Oryzias latipes: one gene and its partner. The protein of the gene in region 1 interacts with the protein of each later gene in a pairwise test. Links are inferred from orthologs where the notes say so. Each region holds a gene or a part of one and is shown on either strand. Other genes may lie near its edges. The genes, in order: bcar1 and nphp1.

Region 1 (4,555 bases):
TGTGATTTTGCCCTGTTACTGTTGATTCCCACAATGCTTTGAGGCATGCGCAGCGGCAGCATTTCTACTCCATGTCTGAGTGTAGTGTGAACACATCGTGCTTTGCTCTCATTTTCAAGCATGAACATGCAAGTGGAGCATCCTGCAGATCCTGGACCAAGATTTGCTTGTTTGGTCTAGACCAGAGCTCAGAGGAGCGTTCACACTTGAAGCCAAATGAGGCTAAAATGAACTCTCTTTTTGTTATCCCACATGCTCCTCCTCCTCCTCCTCAGGTAGAGCTCGTGTGTGCCTATGATTGCCTATGGTCTCAGTACAGTGAACTCACAAACAACAACCCATGAGTCACAGTGACGGCTCAGCTGCAGCTTCCTTGGATTACTGAGAGTGGTCCGGGGGGGGGCTTTGTTTTCACAGCTCTGCTGAGGACACAGAGCATCACCGAAGAACTGCGGGTAACTTCTGCTTTGTTCAGGGATGGATTACAGGGTGAAGAAGACATCTTTGTGGATCATGGGTGTGCTTAGAGCTGACAGTATAGCAGCTCCGCACCACACACTCATCCACGCCCGTCAAAGAAGTGTGTGAGCAGGCTTAAGCTCAGGCCTCTGCTGCCTTTGTAAGTGTAGGTTAGGAAAGCTCATAAACACTGCCTGCTCTGTGGAGCATCTCATGAACGCCACATAATCATTTCTCTTTGTTTTGATCCTTCAAACCTTAAAACTTGTCCTGTAAATAGGAACCTTTTCTCGCACAGAAACCACCACTAGGGGCTTTAAAGCAGCTACACGAAGGGCAAACAGAGCAGGAGCAGCAGGCTGAAGGCAGGATAGCTAATCCAGTTTTTATTGGACTGAAAACCAGCTTTGTGTGCTTCTGATGGTTTGATTCTCCCTGCTGTGCAGAAGGGCGAGGTGCTTTGAACCAGTCATCCACTGTATTTTTTCATCCCTCAGGCAGCTATTTGTGAGTTTTTACCAAAGCAGGTTGAGCAACACCAGGCCCCTCCCACAGCAGTCTGCCCTATGCTCCAGGCTACATAATCCCTGCTGTTGTTACTCCTGTTAGTCACGGCCTACAGCAGGAATTTTTCTGCAGGAATCATCCCTTGCCAAAACATAACTAAATAGCTGGCGCTGCAAATAAAACCCTGATTTTGAAGTGTTTGGTGCGGCGTAGCGTTGCAACACACCTGCTTCAGGTCCAACACATGTAGGTTCACCTGGAAAATGTATGGGCTTTCCTAACAATTCCATGAGACATGAATATTTAGCAGCTGATAAACATAAAGAAGAAAAGAACGAACATGAAGACTTCAAGTAAGCTAATCCTTCAGGGAAAACCCAGATGCTTTTTTTCTTTTACAAACATTTTCCCTCACTTTCTTCATAAACTACATGATGCTTTTTCTACTGAAGTCTTTTCGTTCTCAGTTTGTGACAGTCTGAGTTGAAAACGCTGTACAGAGTTTTTCATTTAACATGAAATGGTGTTGGTGCAAAAATGCTGAACTGATTTCTGTTCAGGCGAAGAGAATGACCATTGCAGCTCCAGGTAAATGCCGTGGGTAGAGGTTTCTGTCTGCATATTAAATGTGCGCACGATACTGTTTCTTAAGAACTGACATGTCAAGACAGGCAGGAGCAGTGGGGGAAGAAACGATGAAGCCAGATACAGAGGGCTTTTGCTTCTGAACAACCTAGAAGCCGCAACAAACGTCGGGCATAATTTGGTTCGTCAGTATTCTCTGCGCTGAAACAACTGATCATGTTAGCTGCAGGGGTCTGCTAACATTTCTTTGGCATGCAGTGCGATCAGGTAAGAAGTTCTGCTGGAACTCGAGGGTTTTTCCACCCAACAGAGTTCCAGCGACGTCTTTTCCAGTGCTTCTGCATTCCATCGCCAAGCGGTTCTTTAGTTTGATCAGTGGGCTGCTCTACATCTCTGTGAAAGCAACGTTATGTGAAGGTTATGGTCGTGTTTCCAGTAATCACGCCAACATAAGGGAGACATAATGTGTACGTTTTAAGGTTGAAACAAGAAACCAATCAGGCTTTATCAGGGTCTTCAGAAACTGTAGTCTTCACAAAAATTAGGATTGTCTTAAACATTTAGGAAATGAGAACACTCTGTTAGTTTACACTTTGTGGATGTGTTTTTCAGTCCTGTGGTCTACTGGTCTAAAGCCACTAAAAACATTGTTTTGCACATTTGCTTTCATCTCCAATGAAAAATAAATAGAGTTGGCAAAAAAAATGTACCTCTTAAAGTAAATTTAAACAAGAAGGTAAAAAAAGTGCCTGTTCATTTCTGCTGTGACGTAAATTGGAGCAGATCGGACACTGATTTGTCAAAGGTAGATATGATATTTATACCTTTATTGATTTATTGACACTATTTGTGACATTTGAAGAAGGATGTTGCTTTCTTTCTATAGTTCTGGGATTTTCCCAAACAGAAAATCTGGTCCTGGCCAGCAGAGGTTTGACAGGAAGATACGATGGGATGCGGCCAGTTTGGCGTTCCATTTTCTTCGCTGCTGTCATTCCAAACTCATGTTCACTTTCCATTAAAGCGTTCGTTCCCTGTGAGGGATTCAGTGGTGGACTGGCTCAACATACAGTGGCTACGGAAAGTATTCAGTGGTCACAGTGTTACATTTTTCACTCTTTGCATCATTGTAGCCTTTTGCCAAAATTAGGAAAGTTCATTTCAATTCTCAGTCATGTGCGCTGACTTACGGAGCCCGTGAAGGGACATCCAAGTGAAAGCAAAGAGTACTGGTTTCTCAGGCGCATGAAAAAGTATCTGTTGCTCAGAAGAAAGTAAGTGGTCATTTGTGCACAGGACCACTTTTCAGAGTTAGTTGTCATGTCCCCTCGCTATATTGCGCTTCACTTTTCGTTTCGTTTTCACATTTTTTTCAGTGCAGTTTTTCCTTCTTTGTCTTTATGCAGGGCATTGACTGCATTCTGATTGGCTGTTGTCCATATCAATCAATCTCCTCTGTACCGTCTCTCTATACATGCAGTTTGACTGTGAGGATAAATCTATGATTGTAATCAGATCTTTGTTTTCATTTTATAGTCCTTAACTTATTTTTCTGGGAAGGTTTGAACTTTAAGAGTTTAAACAAGAATGAAAATGTTCATGTCTGAGAACAGTGTAGAAAGTGTGCTGTGAGGACTTTTCCGCCTTTAGACCATTGACTATAATAGAGAACTGGACTGAGGGAGTGTGACATCACCCATAAAAAAATGCCTTGCTTCTGGTTCCAACGAAATTAAGTCAATTCAGTCGCCATTGTCCACGACGGTTGTCATCCAGCGGCGCCCCCTGCATCCTCAGTTGTTGTCCTGCAATGAGGCTCACTCTTGGTTCCGCCCAACCTGCCAGGACTTTATTACAGCAGACGCTGTGTCGCATTCTCTCCGGGGGACGGGTCATTCCCCTCTTCATCCTCTCCCGGTTCAGACTGCGCGCACTCCTCTCCTGGTGCAGTATGGATCCGGGAGGCGGGTAACCCTGTCCTGGTCTCCTCTCTATCCTCCTTTCTCGTCCTGGTCTCTCATTAAAACCGATTGATGCCAGGTGCCCACCTGTTGTCTGTTCTGCAGTGACATCCGTGAGGAGTTCAAGGACCTCAGAATTTCCACGAACGACGTCACAGTTCAGAACAAGGAGCCCAGAATTTACACAATAAAGACACACCCTGTCATCATTACATGAGTTATTGAGTTTTATGTTACCTTGCAGCTTTTCTTGTCTGGCGTCACCTTTGTGTTATCGCCTAAAGCCAGTTCTAAAGTCATGGGGTTTGTTTCAGCTTTGGAGATTCACTTGCTTTGATCAACTAGTGTACTGCACACGAGTTTTTTTGGTCCATGACCTACTTTCTGGTGCTCACCAGAATTTCTCCAGTTCTATCTTTTTTCTTCTATATTACTTTAGGGGCTCCAAACTGAGTGAACTATCTTGATAGAAAAAATCAGAGAGGTAGAAATTCCTGCCTATTAACAAGAAAGAAAAACTGAAAAGTCACATGGTCTAAGTATTGAGTAGAAGCTTCCGTTTTAGCTGCTACAGCCATGAGTCTTCTTGGAAATTATGCAACAAGTTTATCACACCTGGATTTGGGGATCCTCTGCCTTTCTTTCTTGCATATTACATGGTGAATGTTGGTGTTCAGCCATTTTTAGGTCTCTCCATACATGTTCAATTGGGTATAGATCAGGGATCTGGCTGGACCAGTCTAGAACAGTCACAGATTTGTTCTGAAGTCACTCCTTTGTTATCTTAGTGGAGCGCTGTGGGTCATTGTTTTATTGGACGGTGAACCTTCTGTCTGAGGTCCTGATCACTCTGGAAGAGGTTTTCTCTCAAGATACCTCTGTACATGTCCCTGATGCTGAAAAAATAACCTAAAGCATGATACTGCCACCATCATGTTTCACTGTTTACTACCTTGCTTTAAGGCCCAAAGCGCTTTACAGTCTCATTCTCCCATTTATACTCACTGATGATGATCTCTATAGAAATGCTGGTGAATTAAATG
Region 2 (2,693 bases), on another chromosome or scaffold:
GGTGGCTCGCTCAGGACTCGAAAGGCAACAGAGGAGTGGTTCCAAAGACATTTCTGAAGGTACATGGTCCATTTCAGACACCTTCACTCAGATTTATACAGTTTTAGATATTTAAATAAATATTTGCTCTTCACCGAGAAGAAGAATAAACTGAAATGCAAACAAAAATTAAAGACTGTGGAGGTGAACATTGTCTTTTAGTTTGGCTGTGGTGTTGATGATGACAATGAGGAAGACAATGGCGATGAAGAAGACAGCGAAGAAGAAGATGAAGCTGAAGATGAGGAGGTAGAAGCAGAAGTTGGCAAAGACTTCAATGGTGAACAGGACAAAAACAGGTTCAGTTGAACTTTGATGAACATCTCAGAAAACTTTTGTGATATAAATCAGAGTATCCGTCAAGAACAGAACGTTCTTATAGTTTTCATCATTTACTTAATCAGTCAAAAAGCAAACTAACAAATATCTGTGCTTGTCCTTCAATTGCTTTGACAGCAGTGTCTCCAACTGGTCGACGGTCAGAAAGGCTCTGAAAGAGGTAAACTCTACAAAAATTTAGTTTTCCTCTTTTAGAGCTAACAGGCGCGGCTTTAAAAAAATAAAGTTAAAAATTAAAGTTGAAATTTCTCATGCTTCAGGTTGATGCAACTGATGTGCTGTCAGCCATGGGAGCTATTCCACCGGGATTCAGACCATCCACTCTCGGTAAACTGCTGGAGGAGGAAGGTAATCTTTTGCTAACAGCACTATTTGAACGCAGTAAGAGCTTAGTACCAGGGCAGATCACGGTACTCTGACAATAGCTACTATTTCCGTCTTTTTGTTTTTTAAATACCACAGATATCCGACTTTCTGGTGTAGAAAACTGGACCGGACAAGACTAGTGACCAGTTTGTCCTAATGTGTTTTTGCCCGATTGTAGACGATGTTTCATGAAATGAAAAGTTCTCTAAAAATTCACCTTAATGTACATTTTATAAAATAGAAAGTGTTCACCAGTCTCCCTGTGTGTTTGGATTCACTTCCAGTTATTTCTTACGATGTGTGTGTGCCAGAAAGATAGTCAGAGTGAAGGCATTTCAGTTGATAACCGCAGTCTTCCTCACCGCTGCAGTTGAATCTTCTGTGTATAAACTGATTAAGTAACAAAGCTCTTGATATGTGCGTAATGTCGCAGGTGAAACGTACAGGGCAAGTCGCTACATTAAACCTGAGCTCAGCCAATCTCAGCTCTCCTTTAAAGACCTCCTCCTGAACCCAGACACCGGCAGGGTGAGCGTGACCATCTCCATTTTTTTCTCCTCTGTTTATGTGGAGATGTGGGGGCTCATAATAGTGCTTTCATTTGACCTAGGTACATGCTCGCCAGGTCAAGACCAGTGTTTGCTTCACTTTGTGGAGTTGCAGGTTGATTCCCACTCCTGGGGTCGGAGTTCAGGTCCTCAGCAGACACGTCCGTGTCTGTGCCTTCGATGGATCACAGGTAGAGTTTTAAGTAAGTCCTGCCTCAGTGGCAGAGAAGTGGAAATTCATGTTCCTTATTAAACTCCTTGTGTTTTAGGTTTTGAGTAACATCCACACAGTCAGAGCAGCATACAACCCCAAGAACCCCAAGACATGGAGCTTTTCTCCAAAGGTATGTCTAACCAGTTTTATGTCCCATCATCTAAAAAGAGTATTAGTACTTATTTGTTGATTTTTTTGCAGATGACCGGCTTGCTGCCCGTCCTAATGGACGGAGACTGTTTCTTGCGCTGCAACTCTGTGTCTCCTAATCTAGGAATCCTCTTTGAGCTTGGAGTCACTTTTATTCGAAATGTAAGAGTTAATGCAAAATAAAAAAGAGAATTTTTTTTGCCACAGGACTGGGAAATTAGACTTTGTGGAGCCATATTTGTCTGATGTTGCTCTGCTTTTAGTCAACAGGGGAGAAAGGAGAATTGAGTTGTGGTTGGGCCTTCCTGAAACTATTCGACGAGACTGGAAATCCACTCTCTAACAAGTAGAAACACAAAACTCTTCAACACATACCAGCTAAATGATAACCGTATGCTATGAGTCATTTGTCACAAACACCATATAATGTCGTTTCATGTGTTTAGGACGTACGAGCTGCCAGTGAATGGTGGCACTCCGTACGACAAAGATGTCACATTGGAGACTTCAGTCTCAAGAGGATGTAAGAGCATCAGAAAGTCTAATGTTGTCATGACGCCAGAAAAACTGTGCTGATGAGTGCAAACTGTACACCTTCTCTCCTCCTAAGCCCCTGGCAGTGTTTTCCAACAGATGCTCAATGCCAGGCGGCTGCCCAAACTGGTTGTAAAGATGAAATCGACCAATCGTCGAACCAGAACGCAACTATGGTGGGAGGACCAATGTCAAAAGCCTACGGCAAAGCCTCAATGCATGCAGTAGATCATGGGAACTGATGCTGGATCAACAAATTCCTATTAGGTGTAGCCGCACACATTACTGACTCACATGAGTCCAAATAATTGCAGTGATCAGAGGAAGGCGATTTTGGGTTTTTACTGTATCATGCTAAGCTAGGTGCAACTATATTGGTCTAACTCTACAACATAGCAGAAATGTGTTATTTTTCAACAAAATACAACTCAGATTTTGGCTTTTTTAACAGGATAGTAAAAACATCGTCTACGTTAGTTTGCACTTTTTTTCAAACACGCTAA

What was found.
Region 2: the proteins of bcar1 (region 1) and nphp1 interact in a two-hybrid assay, tested with the Homo sapiens proteins (2 studies listed by BioGRID). The link is inferred for Oryzias latipes from reciprocal best matches to the Homo sapiens genes BCAR1 and NPHP1.

Annotation. Positions count from the first base shown.
Region 1 is NC_019864.2:4,911,595-4,916,149, forward strand, and holds the start of bcar1 (breast cancer anti-estrogen resistance protein 1), read left to right. Parts: upstream 1-1,690; 5' UTR 1,691-1,803; coding exon 1,804-1,818; intron 1,819-4,555. UniProt on the Homo sapiens protein: Docking protein which plays a central coordinating role for tyrosine kinase-based signaling related to cell adhesion. Implicated in induction of cell migration and cell branching. Involved in the BCAR3-mediated inhibition of TGFB signaling.
Region 2 is NC_019873.2:15,304,983-15,307,675, reverse strand, and holds part of nphp1 (nephrocystin-1), read left to right. Parts: coding exon 1-59; intron 60-201; coding exon 202-338; intron 339-495; coding exon 496-538; intron 539-638; coding exon 639-726; intron 727-1,177; coding exon 1,178-1,272; intron 1,273-1,354; coding exon 1,355-1,483; intron 1,484-1,561; coding exon 1,562-1,636; intron 1,637-1,707; coding exon 1,708-1,818; intron 1,819-1,919; coding exon 1,920-2,002; intron 2,003-2,102; coding exon 2,103-2,179; intron 2,180-2,266; coding exon 2,267-2,362; intron 2,363-2,693. UniProt on the Homo sapiens protein: Together with BCAR1 it may play a role in the control of epithelial cell polarity. Involved in the organization of apical junctions in kidney cells together with NPHP4 and RPGRIP1L/NPHP8. Does not seem to be strictly required for ciliogenesis.